Drosophila melanogaster: one gene and its partners. The gene in region 2 interacts genetically with the main gene of each other region. Each region holds a gene or a part of one and is shown on either strand. Other genes may lie near its edges. The genes, in order: dgo, fwd and Vap33.

Region 1 (3,755 bases), on a different chromosome or scaffold from region 2:
AGTTCTTCCTGATCGCTATGTGCATGGGGCAGTCGCCTTGTGCGTTTTTAATGCCCAGCCGAGCATCTGCCTCTAGGAGAATCCTTGTCAGCTTCCTGCGACCCATGGCACAGGTGATGTGCAAAGCGGTGTCGCCGTTCAGATTTGTTTTATTCGGATCGCAAAGGGCGGAGAGCAGGATCCGGGAGACTCCTGCATGTCCATATCTGCAGGCGGTGTGCAGCGGAGTATCTCCATACTGAAATTGTTAAACATGTTAAACATGGTTATCACTGATATGATCCAACACTTACATTATTCCGGACATCGGGATCGGCGCCGGCCAGCAGTAGCTCCCTAGAGCTCTGATTGTGACCATTTTGAGCGGCCAAGTGCAGGGCGGACAACCCTTCGTTGTTGGCAATACCCAGGGCGCTATTGTGTAGGGCTTCGATGGTCTGGTGGGCCACCTTCACTCTGCCCTTGTTCTTATCCTTGTCTTTGTCCTTCTGTCCCTTTGCTGCTTTTCCCACCCCCGAGGAAGCGGGTGGCGTGGGGGGCGTGCAGATCAATTTCACGCAGCGACTGAACCCCCGACTGGCGGCCTCATGGAGCGGGGTATTCCCCTGCACGGATTCCCTGGCCAGTCGATCAGCATTGCTGAACAGGAGACCCTCCACCCGGCGATCATCTCCGGCGGCTACCGCCTCGTGCAGCGAAGTCCAATTGCTGGAGTCGGGCTTAAATCAGAAAAAGAAGTTACATCGGTGTAAGATTTGTTGGTTCAGGCAAGTGCCCTTACTTACCCCGGATATCGCATTCGGGAGAGCTTCCTGTTTCGGAATGCGGGAGGATCCATGCTGCATTGTCTGCGAAAATATTCATTATTTATCAAATTTGTTAAATTATAATTTCATTCATTTATCATGATGTGTTGCAATTATAACTTTTTAAGTAACACTTTATCAAAACCAGATAAAATTAAAAAAATTATTTATATTAGAACTACATTTTGTCTTTAATAAATGAAAAATCTTACTTAAAGTACCGTAATTACCGTTAGAATCGTTTATATGTCGAAAATCATATGAAAGATGGTATTCTTTGATATAACCTTGTTGACGACGAAAGAGCTTAACTTGACCTGGGATCAAATGAATCTGATCTTCGATCGCACATTTTCTAGCCGTGTATGCGCATGTATGTGTGCCTCACGTAATGGCGTACCACGTAGTAATTGTCATTACAAATAGAAGTGGGAGTTACCAAAAGCGATCAAATAAAGGACTCGTAATTTGAAATACAACCTTTTTGAGGGTAGATTAAATGTCTTTCATTATAACACATTGATAAAACATGTATGGTTTCTTAAATGTTCAACACTATTACAGTAAATTTCTAGACCTGAAAACCAGGTTTAAAGTGCGCCTAGGTTTTCTCGATTCCCGACTTACTTTTCACTAATTTTAAATCCCGTCTTTGGACCGCAATTTACGCATTGCAATTCGCCACTCTCACGTATTTACACATGTTTACTTTCGACTATTGTTCAGTACCCGACTTTGCAGTATTTGGCCATTGATGGATTGATGGAACGCCCAGAGTTAATTTGGCTTCAAGCCAGGCCTAAAAAGAGACTAAAAGAAAGCCAATCACAGGCAAAATTGGCAACAGGTTTCGAGCTGGGTTGCCGTACCTGCGACAGCTAACGGTGAAGCCGATAGTCTGCATTATTGCTCCAACAGAAGTACGGTCACTCTACAAGTAGGCAACGAATTTTGTTTGTCATCGGCATTTCGCATTCAACGTTTCCAATTGTTTTTTAAGGAGCTTTAAGAATGGCTTTAGCTGAAATCTGCAAGATATCGAATGCTCCGTACATGCGGCCCAATGCCTGGTCATCGGCGGATGTGGAGGAAGAGCAAAAAGGGCTTATGTGCAATCTGGCCAATCCCTACACACTGGCTGCTCCGCCATTCGAGAACGTATGTAGTTAATTAGCTGATCTTCTTGGGAAATTTACTAAAAAATTTGACAATTTCCTCAGCCCCTGCACAACCTTAATCAGATCCAGGCCAATGGCGACAAGACCGGCGTCAAAATCAACTTCGATCACGGCACCACAACGTTGGGCTTCAAGTTCAAGGGCGGCGTTCTCCTGGCAGTCGATTCCCGTGCCACGGGTGGATCGTACATTGGCTCCCAGTCGATGAAGAAGATCGTGGAGATCAATCAGTTCATGCTGGGCACCTTGGCCGGTGGCGCAGCCGATTGCGTTTACTGGGACAGGGTCCTTTCGAAGGAATGCCGCCTTCACGAGCTTCGAAACAAGGAACGCATCTCGGTGGCCGCCGCCAGCAAGATAATGGCCAACATTGCCCACGAATACAAGGGAATGGGTCTGAGCATGGGCATGATGCTGGCCGGTTACGATAAGCGTGGTCCAGGCCTCTACTATGTGGACTCCGAGGGATCTCGCACGCCTGGCAATTTGTTCTCTGTTGGTAGTGGATCGCTGTACGCCTACGGTGTCCTGGACTCTGGCTATCATTGGGACCTGGAGGACAAGGAGGCCCAGGAGCTGGGACGTCGCGCCATCTACCATGCCACCTTCAGGGATGCCTACTCCGGTGGTATCATTCGCGTGTATCACATTAAGGAGGACGGCTGGGTAAACATCTCCAACACCGACTGCATGGAGCTGCACTACATGTACCAGGAGCAGTTGAAGCAGCAGGCCGCTAAGTAGAGTTTTGATTAAGGGAATATAAGATATTCAGTTTGTATACGTTTGAATTTCTTGGAATAAATAAACGTGCTAGAGACTATGTTTTGTGTATAATTGATTGGGCTAATTTGTTTTGCTTTTCATAGGTTTATTACTATAAATGTAGTTGTATGTATGTAATGTATTTTTGGTAAATATAACAAGTACGCATATATTAATAGTTTAGGTTTCCTTATTCTTTTTTTGCTGTGAGATCATTTGCAATGTTTCCTTGTGTCGCACTTCCGCTCGTTTTTGCTTGAATGTCCGCTTTCCGCCCTTGGTTTCCACTCGCTTTCTTCGCAGGACTCCCCGTTCCATTGCGCTTCGAAGTTCCTGCTCGGCATCCAAGTACGAAGGTATGTGGATCTGCCGTATCATTCGATTCCGCACCATAAAGTGATCAAAGGGGTGCTGACCACCATTGCGATCGATGAAAACTGCATGGGTGAGCTCGCAGGTCATGTGTCCATCCGCTACATCGATGATTCCGGCCACAGAGGTCTCGTTGTGCAGATCGATCAGTACGGAATGACCCTGCAGCATCACGGGCCAACAATTTAAGGTGTTGGACACCAAATACTTCTCCCGCGCACTAAACTGCTGCATTATATCGATATGTTTAAAAATAAGTGTTTGCTCTTGGACACGGAGCTGCCAACTCGCTTCATAAGTAATTTGACATTTTCATTAATTAGTTTTGAACTACATCTAAGAGAAGTACTTACGGAAGTTTTCAAGTAAAGGTTTTTTCCCTTTTTCACGTTTGCGTGACGGTCGTGTAAAACAGTTTTGGCAAACAAATCCAGCTATGGTGCGTATGAACGTATTGGCCGATGCCCTGAAGTGCATAAACAACGCCGAGAAGCGTGGCAAGCGGCAGGTGCTGCTGCGTCCCTGCTCCAAGGTGATCATCAAGTTCCTGACCGTGATGATGAAGCATGGCTATATCGGCGAATTCGAGATCGTCGAGGATCACCGTGCCGGCAAGATCGTTGTCAACCTGACC
Region 2 (3,755 bases):
AATAAAAAAGTATGGATGATTTGAGAAAATGTATGCAACTGCTCGGGTTTATCTTACATCGCAGGCCACGATCGGAATCTGGATGACGGAAAATGTGCCATCGGCGATACAATTCGACCAGTCGTCTTTGTGTGCCAATAAATAATTTATAATTTTTAGCTTCCGTTCGCTACGCAAACAAAGCGGCCACGAAAGCAAGTTGAGAAACAAAAATAGCGACTTCAACCACAACTAGTTTTCAGTTTGGCCTGCGCTGACGAACCTGACTTCGCGCTTTTGGCATGATTAGTGATCGGAAACCAATCCAAACTCGTTGCCTTTTGCTTTAAAAATTCCCGTTTCGGATGTTTCCACTCGCACCCCCCGCTCACCAGTTACTTAACTATTTGGCAAGCGTCTAGCGACTCAACAGGCGGCAGTTGCAACTCTTATGTCAAAGTTATCGGCACTCAAAAGAGTAATTACAGTTTAATTACTATCTCCCGCTCGTTTCAAAAGTCGGTCCGGTCCGCATTGAAGCTATTCCCGGAGAAAGACTCTCCAGCGTCTTTCCACCTGGGCGAGAAGTAACTTAGGTGTGCGATTCGCAAAGCCCCATATCGAAGTCAAGCCTTGCTAAGCCTGGCTTATGGAGGGCAGTACGGGGCAGGAGATCGGGCTCCCCTTTGAGCTTCGCTCTTCATTTCCGTATGCCTTCCTGTTCACACTTTGGTAATCGCACTCTGCGTGGCCACGAACTACCATGCGTGGTAAACACTGTTCTGCGAGGGGTTCAACGACTCAACCCCGTTCGAGACCTCCGTAGCCCCATGTTAAAGGCAGCTTAGTCTCGAAATCGATAGGTGCACTTGAGTGCACTTCATTGCCGAACTAGGCAAAAGTCTTTACAGAAAGTCAATAAACCGACCAAAAAGAAGCAGAGATCAAAACACTCCTGTTCGAAAGGCTAAATGCATTCCGCAGCAGGAAGCTAAAGATAAACCAAGACATTTAAATGAAAGGTCAGGTTTCCGTGTTCCCCCTGCCCGAGCATTCTTTTACCCGCACTTCGCCGATACTGTGCCCGGGAGCACCAGAAACTAAAAACAATCAACAAGGGCGGGCTCGCATCCGGATATGAACGTGGTGGTGATAGCTGCCTTATCATCACAGACTAGGCACACCATTTCATTTCATTGATTCCAGAGGGAAATACTCACAATATCTTCATATCCAGTCGGAGAGATGTAATTCGCTGGGTATTGAAGACTATGCCAACTAACGCGAATAGGCAGAGCATTCCACTTTCACTTGTGGCTTTCGCGTCGGAACCCTATGCCGATTATTATCACCGTGGAAATGAGCAGGCGCCGCAGCGACACCTTATTGTTGCCCACTTGCTCGGAACTCTCGATTCGCCTGGCGTTCGCTTTAAATGTTGTTTTCCAGGTACGCGGTACACGGTACCAGTTTTGCCCAGCAATAAACAATTGAATTTTTAAGTTGCACAAGCACTAACACCACACCAACACAGGCACGGTTACAACTACAACGGGCACCACTACCAGCACGTACGCGACTTGCAAAATCTCGTTTCGCTTGTGTGCGTGTGTTTGCGAGCAATGCTGGCGTTGTGTGCGTGCGAAAATTCACTCGACGAGAAATCACAATTCGACGACACTTGTTTCAATATTCCACCAGCATTCTGCGTGCTTCCTTGCCAGTATCGGGTCGATCTCAAATCTTAAATATAAACAAGTTGTACATTGACTTTATGGGACAAGAGGAGAGGGCTGCTCTGCTCGCTGCGACCGAGGGGCGAGACACAGACACACACGCAGGCAGGGCGATGTCAGACACACACACACACACGCGCGAAGGAACAAAAAGAGACGCGCCCATAGTGTGTATACATCGTCGATACACAAGGGTGCACGAATGAAGCGGCGCGTACTCCTTTGGACTGTGTTTACCACCTTATTATGCACAGCTGCAGCACTTCAAAATTATCTGTAATCCGCTTCTGCTTCCTTTGTATTCTACTACAAAAACAAATTACGCGACGACCGGACGTCTACACGTCCAAAGCAATCGACTTTTTTCTTCGAATGACGCGTTGCTCGGCGAGTTTGTGGGAACTCGACGGAGACTCGAGTAATCGCTAGCGCGTTTTTCTGCTGGGCTGTGCGGTCACACTGTGCAACGACCTTTTCGGCTCAATAAATATACCATTTACTCGTTGAGTGAATCGGTATTCCCGTTACTCGTAGCGTAAGCGGGTATACTAACCGATTCGAGACTTTTGAATGACTAACCGAAACAAAGAGGTTTTCGAACGTATCTGCATCCTAGTATAATCGGTGACGAGTGAGTCTTCTTGCCGAAAATATCTCATTTGTAGCGCTTGCATTCCATATTGCCGGTGTGAAACCTATCACCCAATTCTGCTCTGGTTTCGTTGCATTTGGTGAGGGCATGAATAAAATAATTTGTTTTTAAGTGACGCTTAGAAGCATTCCTCGCTAAATTGCGCAATTGTCTGAGCGTCCCAAATTAGAAAATGCATGATAAGCTGCCTTCAGACATAGTAATTTAATAGCACACATGCCCACATGTTGAGATCTCAAGGCGTAGATTAAATTTTCCGACCGGACAGCCGCAGCCTGGTTCTGCGTGAGTTCAACAATCTCTAAATTGGTCGTTGCAATGTAAATTGTGCTGCAGGCCACTGCGATCGGTCCCTTTCCCCTGGCGCAAGCCACATTTTTTTGATTGACTTGAATTGGCTCTTGGATATGATCGTCCGCTCAAAATGCTTGGCTGCTATGTGGACGAACAGCTCGCGTTTGGTTTTCCATCTCATTTCACTTGCGTCCACCATTTCTGTTGGGATTTATCTATTTATCTCAATCAATAAGTGCACTGCAAGACAACTATTTTTGTTACACCCATATGGTTTTGTCTCTGTGGACATCGGATATTTCTATTAATGTACAAATTCTGTGACACTAAACTATGATGATCCGAGAAAACGGCATTCGTCGAATCCTTTCCGGGGTTTCCATGCGGATTTTAGAGAAACATATTCCATAAGCACCTCTTGGAAATGACCCTTTACAAGTACTGAGAAAAATCTGGAGACACATGTTCGGAAATAAAATTTGGGCCTATTCTGAGCACCCCTCAACTGCAGAATTAGTGAGCAGAAGTTGTTAAGCGTATGGGTGATCCTGCCCCATGCTCATGTGGCATCTGGCATGTGGCTTCTACCACTGGGTTAATCGACAGCGACTAAGAGAGTGCGAACTGGTCCAGGGGGAATCGAAATAAAACCATATGCGCCCTGAAAGTATTTTTGGAACACACGAACCCAACGAAATGGGAGGATTCGTTGGTTCGGTTGATTTCATGTCATTCCTGCTGCATTTTTGGTGGCTGTCGCCACACCCAAGTCTAAAAAGTGTAGTTCATCGTTTATTGTGTATTATTTTAAAAACACTCTACATCCAGTAAACAAATATGGGGAGTGTTTCATTGGAGGAAGGCGATTTGTCAGAACATTACCCATGCGCTGAACGTCGGTCCCAATGCTTCTGTGGATTGATAAAAAAAAAAAATGATACAATCAGTCGCGGCAATACTGTCCTACGCAATTTCGATTATGTTCATTTATTTATATTAAAAGTAGCAAGGAACCAGTCAATTACGTGACTATCTGCGGGAAGCGGCAGCAGTGCGATATTGTAATTGATGCAGGCACGGAGCTGTTGAAAGCA
Region 3 (3,755 bases), on a different chromosome or scaffold from region 2:
AGAATGGGGCTAAGGCTCACTCACACATACACAGATATTAAAATATTTGCGCACAATGGAAGCGATAGCAAAATACTTGAAAAGTTAACTCAATTTTTTTCAATAAGACAAAATACAAATGGTGAATGGTTATTGGTGTATTATTCTAGATCGCAATCAACAATGATTGGTCATTTAAGTAGACATTTCGTTCTGCAATTGAGACTGTGATAAAATTTCGCGAAAAAAATTAAATGTTTATGCACTGGAAAATGCAGCTTGGCAACAGGAGTTCAATAACAATGCGATGACAACCGTGCCACTTGTCGCACCCACTGTGCGAGCTCTTTGCATTGTTTTTGTCACTGCTGCTGTTGCTTTTTGGCCAAAATTCAAGGAGCCAAAAGACAAGAAAAAATTAAAATGGCCCATGACAAGTTTTTGCGTATAAAAATATAATGCTAGCCAAAAACGCGAAACGAGTGAGCAAGAGGGAGAGGGATGGCGAGTGCAAGTGAGAAAGAGAGCGACGCCAGCTGCCGGCATCAAAAAATAAAATACATTAAAGAGCTGAAGCAAAAAAAAAAAAAAGAAAAAAAACGGAAAGAAGCAGAGCGATGATACACGTAGACCCCGAAAAGAACAACAATAAAAGGTGTCGTATGTAAAGGAAGAACAAAAACAACGGAAATTATTGATAGCCAATCGAGCGAGATGGCAATAGAAAGCGTAGAGGGAGGGAGATTAAATGTGCGCGTGAGAGAGAGAAAAAGTGAAACTTGCAGTTTGCTCTTTGCAAGAAATGGGAGGTGAATCGGCTTTTTTGGTCGATATGCAGCGACCTTTCCGCAAAAACGCGAAAATAATGTAAAATAAACTTACCCACAAAACGCAACTCATGTTCTGGTTCAATGGTCAACGGAAGATCAAAGAGTGATTTGCTCATTGTGGCGGCTGGCTTTTGTTGTTGTTGTTGCTGCTGCTCCTGGTGTTGTTCTTGTCGTTGTTGCTGCCGAGAATTTCACTCTCTCCGCTTTTCGCCTCTTATCGTTTTAATTTTATTTTTTGTGCGTCCTGTTTTTGCCCAGCTATTTGTTGTTCTTGCTGGCTGTTTGCTGTTAAGAAAATGCACACAAAATTATATTAAAATGCAGACGCACGCATAGATACGAGACACAGGCACACAACTAAATTAAAAGAGGGATTTCAAATTTTTCGCTTACGTTTGCGTTTTTTAGCCAAATATATCAAGAAAACTGCTGCTGTTTTTATGCCTGTTTCGTTTTACTTTACTCGTCTCTCTTTTTTTCTTTCGTTTTTCGTTCGTTTCGCTCTCACAGGCGAAATATCGGTAAATTTATGCGACCACACACACACGCATGGACAAAAAAAAAGCAAGAGCCAGAGAAACTCACGCACGCACGGGCTTTTTGCAGAAAATTTCGGGAAAAAAACACAACGATCAACGTGCGACTTCTTCACCGACTTTAGGTCGCTTTTCTGTCGATATTTTCGATTTCAGTGGTTTACCACGCTTCGGTTTCTTCGCAAACTTCAGTTGAAAACGCAAAATGTAAAAAAGCCATATATTCTGTCAGCTAGTGATGTGAAAAAAATATCGATGCATCGGGTATCGATATTTTTAGTTTAGCGACTTTTCGATACTTGTCAAGCATTGGTCGTTAAATTACCTTGTAAAATATATATAGTGTTTTTTAAGACAAGATATTTTTTCTATTTTTTTTTATTTAGGTAATTTGAAAATGTTATTAATAACAATTTGCACCAAAATTTTCCTTTCCCTGAATAATGCCATTCAGCTTTTGACAGAATATAAATTAGTTAAATTTATAACATAACGAGTACATGAAATTTAAAAATGTATTAAAATAAATTTTCCTAGTTTTAAGTTACAATTTTGCAACAGGAAGCAAAGCAGTCGAAGTAATACATAAAAATACGAATAAAAATAAGAACATGCAAAATTACAATAATTTTAAGCTTGCCAAAGCATTTATTTAATAGAACACAAATTTGTATTTGATGGTAGTATTACATATTTTATGTAAATATAGTCGGCCTTAAGGACACACAAAGTTGTAAAATAACCTGATATCAAATTATTCTGATGTTCAATCATAGCGTTTTGTATATTATATATATAATACATAATAATACGAAAAAAAAGAACATGCAAAATTTTATTAATTTTCAGCTGAATAACTTCACTTGCTTGCCAAAGTATTTTTAGTAAGACAAAAAATTTGCATGGTAGTGGTACATTTGTTATGTGCATACAGTCGTCCTTTTAAAGGACATACAAAGTTGTAAAATAATCTGATATCAAATTATTCTGATGTTCAATCCTAGCGTTATGAATATTATATATGTTTTTAGTCATATAGAGATCTGACTGCCTAAGAATTAAAGTGTTGGACAAGCGGCGGAGTTTCGATTTGGCTTAAGAAAATTACACTTCTAACAGCATCTCCTTAACACTTGGCCGCCTGCTGTTCCTGGATATTTATGCCGAATCGCACAGCGAAGGCTTTACTAGCTAGCTTCATAATCTCGTTGCGAATGGAGAATGGAGCCTTGGCCACAACGGCCATCAAATGATCCCAATGCTGGCGCTTCGTGATGGTCTTATTGTGTTTGGCGTGGCTCCGGAAGGCGATCAAATATTCTCGAAATAGGAATCTAAAGGCCATGAAAGCGGACTCGCTGTTCACCTTGACCACTGCATCGCTAAGATCGCCCATAACAGCACAATCGGCCCTTTTTTTAAGGAGCTTTTTGAAGAGATCGTTAGCCTCCTGTGCACTGGACTGAGTTAGCAATTTGAGAAAGGAGCGTGTGTCCTTTAAGGTGTCTTCTTTAAGGTAGATGAGCCAAAAGCCCTTGTGCTTTAAACTGTTCACTTGGTTCAAGATCCTCTGGCGGCATTCTGTGAAAGAGCAATAATTAGTAGGCTTTCGTCTTGGACTTACATTTATAAGAGCGCACCAGTGCCTAGGAATGTCAGATGAGACAGACCGTCCTGCCAATACCACACCGCCAGTTCTAAATTATCCACCCGGAAATCTTCAAAGGTGGCCAAGTCCCAGCGTAGGGCATCAATGGTTTTCATGACATGCGAGATCAGCTTCCAGTGTTTCAAACGCCACTCTGGCAAGCTGGCATTCAGATATGTGTAGTGCTTGGCCACCTTGACAGCTGGTGCATCGTCTCCGTTCTCCAATTTCGGGTGCTCCTTTTCGAGTGCATTTAACTCTGCAGTGCCTCGGGTGATTAGATTGCTTTCACCCAGACTAATCTGCTTGAGCAGTTTCAAGATTAACTGCAAGCTGGGCAAGTTCATGGGCTCTATAAACTTGGCCAAACCGTAGGCACACGCGTCTAGGAACCTATTTTGCGCCTGCCTAAGCTCATCCTCTCCGTAGGGACACCGTCCGTCTTTCAAACTAACGCACAGTTGTCGCGCTGACGTGTAGAGACCGTTGAGGATCTGTCGGTGGCCATATAGGTAGAGTGTAAACTGCAAGGCATACGGCTTTTGAAGTAGTTGCTCGTTCACCAAGATGTTATCGGCACAGGCGGAAATATGAAAAGCAGCATGCTTGGGACAAGACTGAGCTATGTGCCAGAATAGCTTCGAGAAGCGAGTATGCGTCACGCCCAAGTGGGAGAAATCAATCCAGGTCTGTCTTGCGTTCTCAAAGCACAGTACTAGAAATTTGGTTATCGGGAAGCGCTTATTATAATCCAATTGATTA

The links.
Region 1: of fwd (region 2) and dgo, changing one enhances a phenotype caused by changing the other (phenotypic enhancement), as found in Drosophila melanogaster (one study listed by BioGRID).
Region 3: of fwd (region 2) and Vap33, changing one suppresses a phenotype caused by changing the other (phenotypic suppression), as found in Drosophila melanogaster (one study listed by BioGRID).

What each region holds. Positions count from the first base shown.
Region 1 is NT_033778.4:10,818,256-10,822,010, forward strand, and holds the start of dgo (diego), read right to left. Parts: upstream 1,630-3,755; 5' UTR 1,037-1,629; intron 849-1,036; 5' UTR 846-848; coding exon 786-845; intron 720-785; coding exon 294-719; intron 239-293; coding exon 1-238. Other genes in the region: Prosbeta5 (proteasome beta5 subunit), read left to right, coding at 1,818-1,964, 2,027-2,728; Lsm10, read right to left, coding at 2,930-3,355; RpS15Ab (ribosomal protein S15Ab), read left to right, coding at 3,558-3,755.
Region 2 is NT_037436.4:317,792-321,546, forward strand, and holds the start of fwd (four wheel drive), read right to left. Parts: upstream 2,094-3,755; 5' UTR 1,200-2,093; intron 1-1,199.
Region 3 is NC_004354.4:3,946,820-3,950,574, reverse strand, and holds the start of Vap33 (VAMP-associated protein 33kDa), read right to left. Parts: upstream 1,601-3,755; 5' UTR 1,203-1,600; intron 1,095-1,202; 5' UTR 926-1,094; coding exon 862-925; intron 1-861. Other genes in the region: Gem4c (gemin 4c), read right to left, coding at 2,472-2,926, 2,986-3,755.